3 linked regions of the Xenopus tropicalis genome follow. The protein of the gene in region 3 interacts with the protein of the main gene of each other region in a pairwise test. Links are inferred from orthologs where the notes say so. Each region holds a gene or a part of one and is shown on either strand. Other genes may lie near its edges.

Region 1 (3,655 bases), on a different chromosome or scaffold from region 3:
CATACGGAGCAATGGGGACTTCTCCCCACTGCTCCGTATGGTAGTTTAAATGGCTACACATGCGCGCTTGCGTCATTGCGGGGGGGGGGAGATGCATGAGCGCCGGGGGGGCCCGAATGGGGGGCGGCCTCGGGGCGCCTGGATTTGAAATCCGGCGCTGGGGACCGAGACTCCAAAGATGGAGTGGACCATGGTAAATACTCTTATCCAGAACCTCTGGACTTTAGGGCAAGACCGCCATATGTTGATAAGGGGCCCGAAATATGTCGTGTATGGCATAAAAATAAAAGCGTTTTTTGTGCAGCAATTTTGCATTTTGTCTCGTGCTTCCCCCTATATATATTTTTCGATTCAACATTGGCTGAGAGTGCGGCTCTATTGCTGGGGGTTTGCATAAGGTCTGTAAGGCTGGGCGCAGAGGACCTATCTAGTCGACCACCATATGTGGAACATCGTACCTTGCTGGTCACAAGCCCGGAAGCATCTTGGGTCGACTGTGGGTATAAATTTCGATATACGGGCTGGGACTAGATACCACCTGAGGCAAACTACAAAGTTCTCCTTAAGGAGGGAAACATTGCGTGAAAAGCATTTGACTGTTAACTATATAGAGTCCCAATCCTCTTGTGCCAAGCTAGATTGTATATCAGTTTGCCATGCCGTAACATATAATAGGCTTTTAGCTGTGCCTTTTTCAATTGTAACCAAAATTTTGTTGTCTACTCTCCTAAAATGCCTACTTATGGTTGGTGATGAAATATCTTGTTCTGCTGACAATGTAATAAAGGTGATAGATTTGTGTTGGCTTGTTTAGGAAAGGGAAGCAGTAGGTGTCTCAGGTTCATCCTGTGTTGCCTTACGCTACTAACAGACCCAAGGGACCCCGTTCCTCATTAACCAAACATGTTTCTGATGGTACTGATGCACAGTCTACACAATAATCATAATATGAAGCAGATAAAAATGCTTAATGGTTTTGTGCAACAACTATAGGATTTTTCCTGTGTGCAGCTCTTATGAGCAGGGCCCTCTATCTCCTGCATAGTCAGAACCATAGATCATGTCATGGAGGGCAATGAGAATAGGGTTTACGTTCTCTTTCAGCCTATAAGCATGGTGCTCACAGCTGAGCACAAACGCAGCAGGCTGTATTCCCATTAGAGTATTGGCTTATGGAATGAAGTTGTGGCAGCTGGGACCACAAAGCAGAATGAAGACCACAAGGGAGTTCACCAAGAAAAACAACTATACCTATTAATAATACAACTTGTAGGTGTGATTGTTGGATCACAAAAGGATGTTTACAAAAATAAAGTAAGATTTTGGTTCCTTTTAGTGATATAAAAACAAGCGCAACATTAGACACTAAACTGAAAGTGAAACAGAACCTTGCTAAGAAATTATACACCTTATGTTTACAGGCCAGATTCCATATTTATATGATTTCTTTTATCTGGTGCTTTATTTTTGCATGTTTGCATTTGGTATCTTTTATCCCCAAACCATATTTTTTATTTTAGCCTCTTTCACTAACCTGTCATTTCTTCCAACCACACAGCTATGGGTGAGCATTGAAACGGATGGCAAACATGGAATTTTCACTGCCACTCTTAACAGTAACCGTAGCAATCAGAATTCCCATCTGCCTGTCAATCCTACTAGTACTATTGAATCTAAAGTGCCCTATTGGACATGCACAAAGAGGTGACAGGCAGACATCAAGCTATCTTTTTGGCACCAGTGTCCACCTGTCACTATTGTTTGTGTATCAGGTGGGGCACTATGTATTCAGTAGAATTAGGGCTCCGGCACATGGTGAGATTAGTCGCCCGTGACAAGGGAGATGTCGCCGAAGTACCATCCCACCGGCGAAAATGTAAGTTGCCAGTGGGATGGCACACGCTGCGCAAGCGATTTTGGCAAATCGCCGAAGTTGCCTCGCGGAAAATAGGGTATTCAGAGTGTAATGGAGATCCACACATCACAGGGCTTAGAGGTGATGAGGAACAACTTTGAAAAAGTCTTCTTTATCACCTCTAATATATAATATATATTATAAGTGTACTTTTCTAAATTTTGGATAGTCATATTATACAGACTAAAGACTGGGCGGTTTCTATTAATAGGCAAACAGAAGTCAGCAGAAAGTATTACTGTAGTTGTGAATGCTAAGCTACCATGTTTTGATTTTTTCTGTCCATAATAATATATATTTGTTTTATTTTAGGTATATATTACTGGACATTGAACAGCAGAGAGTCCTCACATTTATCCATTTATCTTTAAGGACAAGTTAGACCAAATGAACCAGTCCCCTTCCACCGCATCTGAGGGCCTGAGCGATGCCCTGCCAGGGAGCCCAGCAACACCACAGCTTGTGCCGCTAAACCCTGGAGGCGGAGGCAAAGCTACCCCTCCAAGCAAAAACAGCAAAAAGGGTCAACGATTGGACCGTGGAAGCGAAGAGTACCGTCTGCGTCGGGAACGTAACAATATGGCTGTCAAGAAGAGCCGCTTAAAAAGCAAACAAAAGGCTCAAGACACACTGCAAAGGGTCAACCAGTTGAAAGAAGAGAATGAAAGACTGGAGGCCAAAATCAAGCTACTTACCAAGGAGCTGAGCGTGTTGAAAGACCTGTTCTTAGAGCATGCACACAACCTGGCAGACAATGTGCAGCCAGAATCCAGCACACCCGGACAGGAGTCAGCTGGGTAGTAACCAATTTGAAGATCTACCACTAATTATTGGTGGACGAGAATAACTTTTTTGAGGGGTGGGAGAGCTCTGAATTCCTGCATTGTCTTTTGATTACAGGCAACATGCAGCAGTAGGGGCTGTAGTAACTGATTGTGCTTTCAGTCTGGGATCCAGTAATTTATACAGGAATGTTTGGTGTTGAAGTTTGTCTGTAGGTCTTCTGGTGCAACCCATTTGCTTTGGAAAGTTATTACAGAAAGGAAGCATAGAGGGGCAGTATTCACCTTGCACAAGCCAGAGAAAAAGGGCTTTTTTAAATAGTTATAGTTCACATGGGATATGAATTGTTTTTATATGAACTCTCTCCTCTACAGTATTCACTGTGGGAGGAGATTGAATCATATAGTCCCCTCTTTCACAAATCGTGTCTGAGAGTGCAGGCAGCACATAAGGGAGAAGCTTCTTCTCCCTCTTTGCTATTGGTGGCAGAGCAGAACTTAAGCAAGATGGAGGCAGCTGATATTAAAAAAACAAAACTGTTCCTTCTCCATGTCCACTATCTAATGGGATACTGTCATAAAGATCATTTCGTGCCTGAAACCACATGGTTATCAGAGTAGTATTATGGAGAGGGAAAGAAGCGATTTCCTTGAGCTTTTGAAAGTGAGCTTTTCTTCTTTAATACAGTAATGTAGTATGCGACTGGCCGTAAAGCATTATTACAGAGCAAAAAAACTCCTGTGCAGCAATTCTCTATATATGAATGCCTCAGAGTTTTCATTGTTTACATTTACACCACATTGACTATTAAAGCAGGCCACATGCACTGCTTTAGCTGTTGATTCTGGCCATCAAGATTTTGTTTGGTTAGTGGACTGCTTATAGGGCCAAACCAACACCCTCCGCCAGATACTGACAGGCAGGTTTAAAAGTTCTGTCGGCCAAGGACTGCTTCGG
Region 2 (3,306 bases), on a different chromosome or scaffold from region 3:
TGACTAGTGTCCTGTGTTGGGTCAGGTACCTGTGGATTAGCTACAAAGTCAGGACACTTCTAAAAAATATTGGGATGTCCCAACCATGTGGGTGATCCATAAACAGCCTTTAGGGGCAGTCACAGCAAACTGAGCCACAGTGACATCACTTCCAGTTTTTGGCCCCCACACATTGGCTGTGTCCATGGCTGGATTTTATGTTTAGCTTGTAACACAGCTACAGTTTGAAAAAGCAGTCATTTTCACTCCTTTGTAGAAATAGATGTAATATTCATTAGATGTAATATGTAGCTGAAGAAGAATTGCACACATTTGAGAAGTCATACTTAATGAAAAATCTTATTTTAAAATCAGAAAGCAATAAGAAATTGCACTGTTGTGCTTTCCAAGGATGCTAGAACAACTTTGGCGTATAATGAATTAAAGGTGGTCATACATGGGTCAATAAAAGCTGGCGATGGTCAGCAGTTATCAGCCCATATATGGGGCCCTCAGACAGACCTACCCAACAGATATCAGGCCAAAAATTGGCCATGTGTCCTGATGGCCTCCAACCCATGTGAGCAAATATATCCCCCCAGTGACACTGCTTGGACTTTGAAGCAGATTTGTATCAATAAGGACCAGATCTTAAATAGTACATAAAAACCAAAATACATGCAATATTAGTTTTATTAAAATACTTGATTAATATCAGGGGATAGCTAAATGGACATGGTGTAAATTGTTTTGGAAACAGACACCGTGCAGATTAACCATGCAATATACAGAGCGCAATGCATTCCAGACTAGATAAAGGACTAACCTGTAACTCCTTACATCAGTATTTACAGAGTACCTGCTGAAAGTCACAGCAGTTCTACAAAGTTTACTTTCCTAAAATAAAAGTATAGTTCTCATAGCAAGTAATTGCTGATTTATTTTGAGTCTTAGTCTTTTTTAAGGTTCACCATCCGGTCTATTAAAGCCTTCCTAGTCTGCTCCACTTCCTTACTTAGGCGTTCAATCTCTCCCTTTAGTCGTTCATTTTCTGCTAACAAATGGGACACTTTCTTTTCATTCTCCTCTTCCTTTTCTTTCACACGTACTTTTCCTCCTCGTGACTGACTGCTTCTCTTTCTTTTTGATGGTGGCTGGCTGGCAAAAGATTCCTCATCCTCTGTGTGGGTATGTACTGAAGAGCTACTGCAGTAATCGAGCTCAGGCACGTCCGACTGCGGAGTATCATCACTTACTGGGGAACCAGAGAGCTTACAGTTGTCTTGTATTTCTGAGTTTATTAGTTCCAAGACAGCAGAAGGCAGCTGTTGTACAGCAGCTTCTAAAGCATCAGTATCCTCATTGTCCATAACCAAAGGTGACTCAATAGTCCACAAGTAAGGAGATTGGTCCACAGTTTCCATTTGCTGTAAGTCCTAAAAAAAAGAAAAAAAAATTAGGCATTGTAGGCCAGAAAATACCTGTAAATTAAGCAATTAGGGCATTTTGCTTAGAACTCTTCCCACCACATGCTGCCAGTGTGACAGATCAAACAGAACCCCCAAGGTTCTAACCACTAACCTTGCTGAAAGATGGCAACAGCATGCTTTACATAAAAGTACCTAAGCTGAGGAGCGTTGAGGAGAGGTGATGAGCTTTGGTGCAGGGAACGTCAGTACAATCTTGTTCCAATGGGTGTAGTAGTACTTTTTCCAGAGAGTTCTGTACTATTCATGAGGTCAGCTACAAATAGTGAAGCCTGGACCAATATGGTGGTCATGCCCAGGCTGCCCCTGGCTTCAAGGCTGAATGGCCACAGGCCTCCTTAACACCTCAGCTCTACTTTGTTAGAATTTGCTTTCAAAGAGCCAATGTCATGCTGGGATTTGATTTGGGTGAGGCTTGCTTAACAGGCCCTAATAGAACAATTGTTAAAGAATCCCCATCTGCCCTGCTAATGTATAGCAATGCCAACCTAAAACTTAAAATGCTGTTTAGTTGTGATCCCAAAACCCAGACAGCAGATTTGCGGACATCAGACATTGATGTTTTTCCCTCAGTCTAATGCTAGATAGCCAACCAACAAAATGAGAGCAAACAAATTAGTTGGTCACTTATAAAACCACCAACCTGCTCTTCTGAAACAGGGAGCAAATTCCCAGTGTCCTTTGTGTCGGCCCACAAGATGTCTTGAAGATCTTCATACCAACATTCCAGCTCCCACCCAGACAAAGTGGCCATGGGGCCACAGAATGGCAGAGACTCTGCCATCATTTTGTATGGCAATCTTGCTCAGAAGACTGTTTCTGTAAAAAGGGAAAATAAATCAAAATATGTAAAAATGCAGACAGTGCCACGTGCCTTACCTGCAAGCTGAGTGGGGGGGGGGGCGCACTGCTAGGCGATCAGTCACCCAAAAAGTTAGGGTACACTGAAATAGAAGAGCTGGTCTATGGAAGCAAAGACTGGGCTGTGCACTGCATACGAGGACTCCTTACCTAGAGATGTAGGAAAACCAAGTATGTGCAGATGGCATAGGCTTCCAACCAATCCAAGACTTATATGTCATTTTATGAAAGCATTCAATGAATCCAAAGGTTTAGAAATGCCTGTAGCACTTTAGGGGTTTAGTTATGATAAGAGGCTTCCATCAGCCTAGTGGTCCTATAGAAAGGCAACTACATGCTGTATATGTTCACAACTACAGTTTAGCCAAAGGCTTAGATTTCAGTGTCTTACCTCAGGTATGGTGATGTATAAAGATTGTCTTTCTTCTCCAACACTATTAAAAAGAAAAGCGTGATTAGCTTTTTTTTTTTGTAAAAAAAAAAAAAAAAAAAAAGTTTATAGCAAGGCTACCATATACATTATATATAGATACAACAGTTCAGGCTACTCGATACAAAAACAGAAGTCAAATACAAAAAAAATTGCTTCAGTGGTGCTTAACACTATTATTACTAATTATTAGGAAACCGTTTGAGCCAGAAAAATCCATATGCATTTATTATAGAAGAGGGCACATTTTATGATCTGGGTCTATATGTCAGGATTAATTCTCTTTCCCAGAGGTTTGGAGTTGTGTAATGGATAACGAACCCTACCCACAGTGAGGGCCTAAACCCTCTTTAAATATGTATTCATTTGTCTGTCTTTTAGGGGTGGTAGATGAATTGGTTACCTGGAACCACACAAGGAATTGAGATCAGTCATCTTCTGTGCTCCAAAAATCCCATATATAATTAAATGGACCCACCCGCACTGGCAGAATGGATTGCATTAATAAAAAACTCCCTTTAAATCAAGCAGACATACATAGCAAGAACT
Region 3 (4,253 bases):
AGATAAAGGACAAAAACTGGTACAGAGTCATACCGGAGAAATTTTAATATCTTAGAAAATGTGGTCATTTTCAGGATGTTGGCAAAAACTAATTCATTTGGCCTTGTCATTTCCTAGGTATCTTGTCTCTGCAGATGAAAACCTTCTGATAGGGAAGTCAAGAGTTCAAAGGAAAATGACTTCCCCAGTCAAACAGAAATCTTTACACCTTCACATATCATGCTCCTTTACTATGTTTACTGTTTCCTTATCTATACATATTCATATGATTAGCCTTTATTATCAATTTATTAGCACTTGAATTTTCCATTTATCTGCCTAATTCTCTAGTACATATCTCCTTGACTTTTGCTGTTTATTTGATGGCAGATAAATGATCATACAGACAACATTAATGTTGCAAACAGAAGATTTTTCCCTGCAGGAAAACATGTGGTTTTATCTTTGGAAAAGCAAGAACTATGGAAAAAAGCTGATTCAAATACAGCAAATTATTTTCCATAATTTGGAGCTGACCAATCAGGCGTGAATTTTAGCATTAAAACTCCTGTCTCCTTCTCCATTTAGCTCTGGAACAGAAAAATGGGAGGAAAGAGACAGGGAACCTACAAGCTGCACCCACATCCAGAAAAATTACAGTTTTGGTTTGGGTTATGACAGAATTAGGAGCTGGTGTGGGGTTCTCTGGCATGATGATTTGGGAAGCATTCCAAAGACCAGGATGCAGGATAAGGGGGTTCTGTACCTGCAGTCATTGTGAGTTGGGTTTATAGGTATGAATACAATAGTCTGGTGCAATTCCGCTTGAATGACCACATGGTGTTTGTCCTTGCCACAAAAATCACCTCTGTGAACCCTAATTTCTCAGTTGCTAAGAGCTATAGAATATTTAATATGCTGTAGATAGTTGCACTGATTCTTTGGGAAAAGTCATTTGTATCCCTAAACCAATAATTACTACCAAAAGTACTGGAAAAGAAGATATCCAATGTATCTTTGTTTTTGGTTTGGTTCATCAGGTCAGATTTTGTTGGTTATCAGAATCACACATAAAAATTAAATGAACAAAAATTGGACAAGGCTAAAATATCCCGTAGTTTTTGACCCAGTCCTAGCAAGCAAAGCTGATGTTAGTAAATACACATGTCCTATATGTATGTATTTTATGTTTGACAAGTGGAAGAGTAGGAAAAAATAAGTCTCCTTTTTTTGCTTAGCTGGTCAGTTTTTTTCAACAATATTACATGTATATTTGAACAGGCGGTATAGCCCCTTGTTCATTCAAGCTACTCCATGTTTGGTCCTTGCAAGACAGATAATTAGATTAACGGTTCACAGCCCCTTCCCTTCACCCCTTTGTTGTGAATTTTTTTTTTACAGCAGGGGTCCCCAAACTTTCTTACTTGTGAGTCAGATGTAAAAAGACTTGGAGAGCAACACAAGCATCATAAAAGTTCATGGAGGTGCCAAGCAAGGGCTAAGATTGGCTATTAGGCAGCCTCTATGCACACTGTCAGCTTACAGGAGGCTTTATTTGGTAGTAAATCTTGTTTTTTTTCAACCAAAACTTGCCTCCAAATCAGGAATTCAAAAATAACTACCTGGTTTGGGGGCACTGAGAGCAACATCCAAGGGGTTGGTGAGGAATATGGTGCCCCCGAGCCACTGGTTGGGGATCACTGTTTTACAGATTAGCAGGTTTCCCTTATGCACGAAGATCAAGTGTGCACTAGTATTCTAATTATTACGAGGACCAAACATGGAGTAGCTTTAATTTTCTTTTTAGTCTTGTTTAGCTCAATAACTAATATAAATCATAGATTTTTTTGTGATTTGAATACTAAACAAAAAGTACAAGCCCTATTCATTGAAGTCATGTTGGATAGGCAGTATCATTGCTCCTTTCAATCCAGTACACACCAGTTATTGCTATAGCTGAACTCATACCTTGGATTTATATTGCGACTAGAGAGTTTAGAAATTAATATTACATTTGTGGAATCTGGACTGTTAACATCAGAACTGATAGAGATCAATTATCAGCTTTATTCAACAGGTGAGAGAAATAATGCCTTGATATATTCCTTTTTTTTTTTTGTGAAAAACAAAATCCATGCTATCAAAGACAAGCTTACATACTGTATATGATCATGTATCTAAATAAAATGAACCAAACCTTTGAATCTATGGCAGATTCAAATGTTTATGGTATGCTAGATAGGATGAATAATGGCCATGGTGGTCCAGCAGTGGAAGAGAGGAAATAACATTCTGCACAAAGGTGCGGCCAATATGCTTAGTTTGTCAGCGTTTTAAACAAAATTACATACTCTACTGAGGCATAAACAAAATGTTTATGGCGTTTATGCCTAAAGACATATACCATGTATTTATAAACAGACATGTTTCAAAAATGGCCCTTAGATAGCGAATAAAACAATTTAGAGGGTATTACCTTCCTCAAGTGATGCTTCCCCACTTGCACACTCTTTTTCTCGGCTAAACTTCTGCAGCGAAGGGGAGAGGTCTATCACACCTTGTGGCTTGTTCCTGGGGGGTCACAATTATACACCTGTCGATCATGCCACTCTGAGCTCAAAATGTACAAGGAGGGGGGGGTCACCCTCTGTGTCACTGTATGTCCCCTCCCTGTGGCTCACAGATTCAGCTCCCCCTCCACCTCTGATGTGCTCTTCAGGAAGACAACAGATTTCCCAATTGGGCTGGTGCAATCTGAACAGTGCTATCAGTTTATCAGCTCCCACCACCCGGCCCCCAGTGTACCCAGTAACGGTTCACACATATGGTGACTATAAGCAATTTATACATATTAACCCGTTCCTTTGCAGAACGAAGGGTAACAGTATTAGGTACCGCTACTTATACTTGCTCTCTTACACACGATTAATACGTTTATTTCCAGTAACAAACACAATTATGCAAGTGCACATTTCAAACTTACTTTTTACCACTTCTCTTCTATCTCAGTCCATGCAAGAAGCTTATAACTTTTGCCTATACAAACAAAAAGAAAAAACTGCAATAGCACCATTTAGGTCCCCAGAATAGGAAGAACCACCAACAACCACTGAATATAGAAGGCCATGAAATATATTGCATAAAGCAGCATATATGTCAAACACGGCAAATAAATCATTTTCATAACAAACTACTTTTTTGTACCACTGGAAAAACTGTCATTTTAAGTTCTACGGATCACCCCCCCCTGTGCCCACTGTACTCACATACAAACCAAAGGCACACCATGCTATCTTACATCAACCAATGAATGGGCCTATAATCCCACACTTTATTTTGTTACAGTTAGAGCTGCATTATGTATTGTCAGTTGATCTCTGAGGGAGCACACAGTCCATCACAAAAAGGTGGCTCAAAGTGAAAGACGTAAAAGGGAAATATTTGCTGATATTTATTTGCCAATTTGGTATAATTCTTTAATAGGTCCCTTCTTATGCTATAAATTATCTGTTGGTCAAGTATTCATTTTCCTTTAAAGAAATGGCAGACCCCTCATATATTGGACCATATATTACTAATACAATTTTTTGTGGGGGTCCCTGCAAGGGGTGCTACAGCCATGAGGCAAGGTGAGACCTCAGGTAGTAACCTTCACAAATGGGGCGCCAAAAATCAGCTCCTGGTCACTTTAATAGCGCAATTTCTGATTATTAAATTGGAATATTAGCTCTTCACAATTGTAATCTCTGCACTAGCAATGCGGCCCCCTGGATCCCCCCTGGTGCAGGAAAGTTAAGCGCAGCATCACAAAAGCCACCTCAGGGGCTAGAATCATTCATGGTCCCTGCGGATGTATGTTTTCCCTGCACCTGACAGCTATGTGCTCTGCACCTTGTGTTAGATTCTTGTACTCTTGAGGGCTCTTTCACTTACTATAGGTTACTAAACCTGGGCAAACTTCATGACTTTTATTATATTAAGCTGTTAATGTATAATACAGAGCAACATACTAGTGACTTATGCCACTGTAAGTATGTGTAAACTATTATGTTTTTTGTTGGCATCCTTTTTCTGTGTAAAGCATTGCAGGAGACAATAATGCTATTTAAATAATGATAATTACATGTAATAATAAGTTTCAGTTTTATCATGGGCAACACATAAACATCTTTTAGATGTCAAAAAACTATATTTTACAAAAAAATGCACATTTAGTGCATTAGATAACAGAAAGTATATGTTTGACCTTTTTTGGCTACAACCTTCCATACTTA

What was found.
Region 1: the proteins of cebpe (region 3) and cebpg interact in a two-hybrid assay, tested with the Homo sapiens proteins (2 studies listed by BioGRID and IntAct, with this or other methods). The link is inferred for Xenopus tropicalis from reciprocal best matches to the Homo sapiens genes CEBPE and CEBPG.
Region 2: the proteins of cebpe (region 3) and ddit3 interact in binary tests that used the Homo sapiens proteins (3 or more experiments, as listed by UniProt). The link is inferred for Xenopus tropicalis from reciprocal best matches to the Homo sapiens genes CEBPE and DDIT3.

The regions. Positions count from the first base shown.
Region 1 is NC_030680.2:115,631,045-115,634,699, reverse strand, and holds part of cebpg (CCAAT/enhancer-binding protein gamma), read left to right. Parts: intron 1-2,227; exon of another isoform or gene 2,228-2,287; 5' UTR 2,288-2,302; coding exon 2,303-2,716; 3' UTR 2,717-3,655. UniProt on the Homo sapiens protein: Transcription factor that binds to the promoter and the enhancer regions of target genes. Binds to the enhancer element PRE-I (positive regulatory element-I) of the IL-4 gene. Binds to the promoter and the enhancer of the immunoglobulin heavy chain.
Region 2 is NC_030678.2:140,580,746-140,584,051, forward strand, and holds the end of ddit3 (DNA damage-inducible transcript 3 protein), read right to left. Parts: intron 2,762-3,306; 5' UTR 2,719-2,761; intron 2,286-2,718; 5' UTR 2,254-2,285; coding exon 2,110-2,253; intron 1,416-2,109; coding exon 930-1,415; 3' UTR 655-929; downstream 1-654. UniProt on the Homo sapiens protein: Multifunctional transcription factor in endoplasmic reticulum (ER) stress response. Plays an essential role in the response to a wide variety of cell stresses and induces cell cycle arrest and apoptosis in response to ER stress.
Region 3 is NC_030677.2:139,545,074-139,549,326, forward strand, and holds the start of cebpe (CCAAT/enhancer-binding protein epsilon), read right to left. Parts: upstream 2,858-4,253; 5' UTR 2,456-2,857; intron 1-2,455. UniProt on the Homo sapiens protein: Transcriptional activator. C/EBP are DNA-binding proteins that recognize two different motifs: the CCAAT homology common to many promoters and the enhanced core homology common to many enhancers.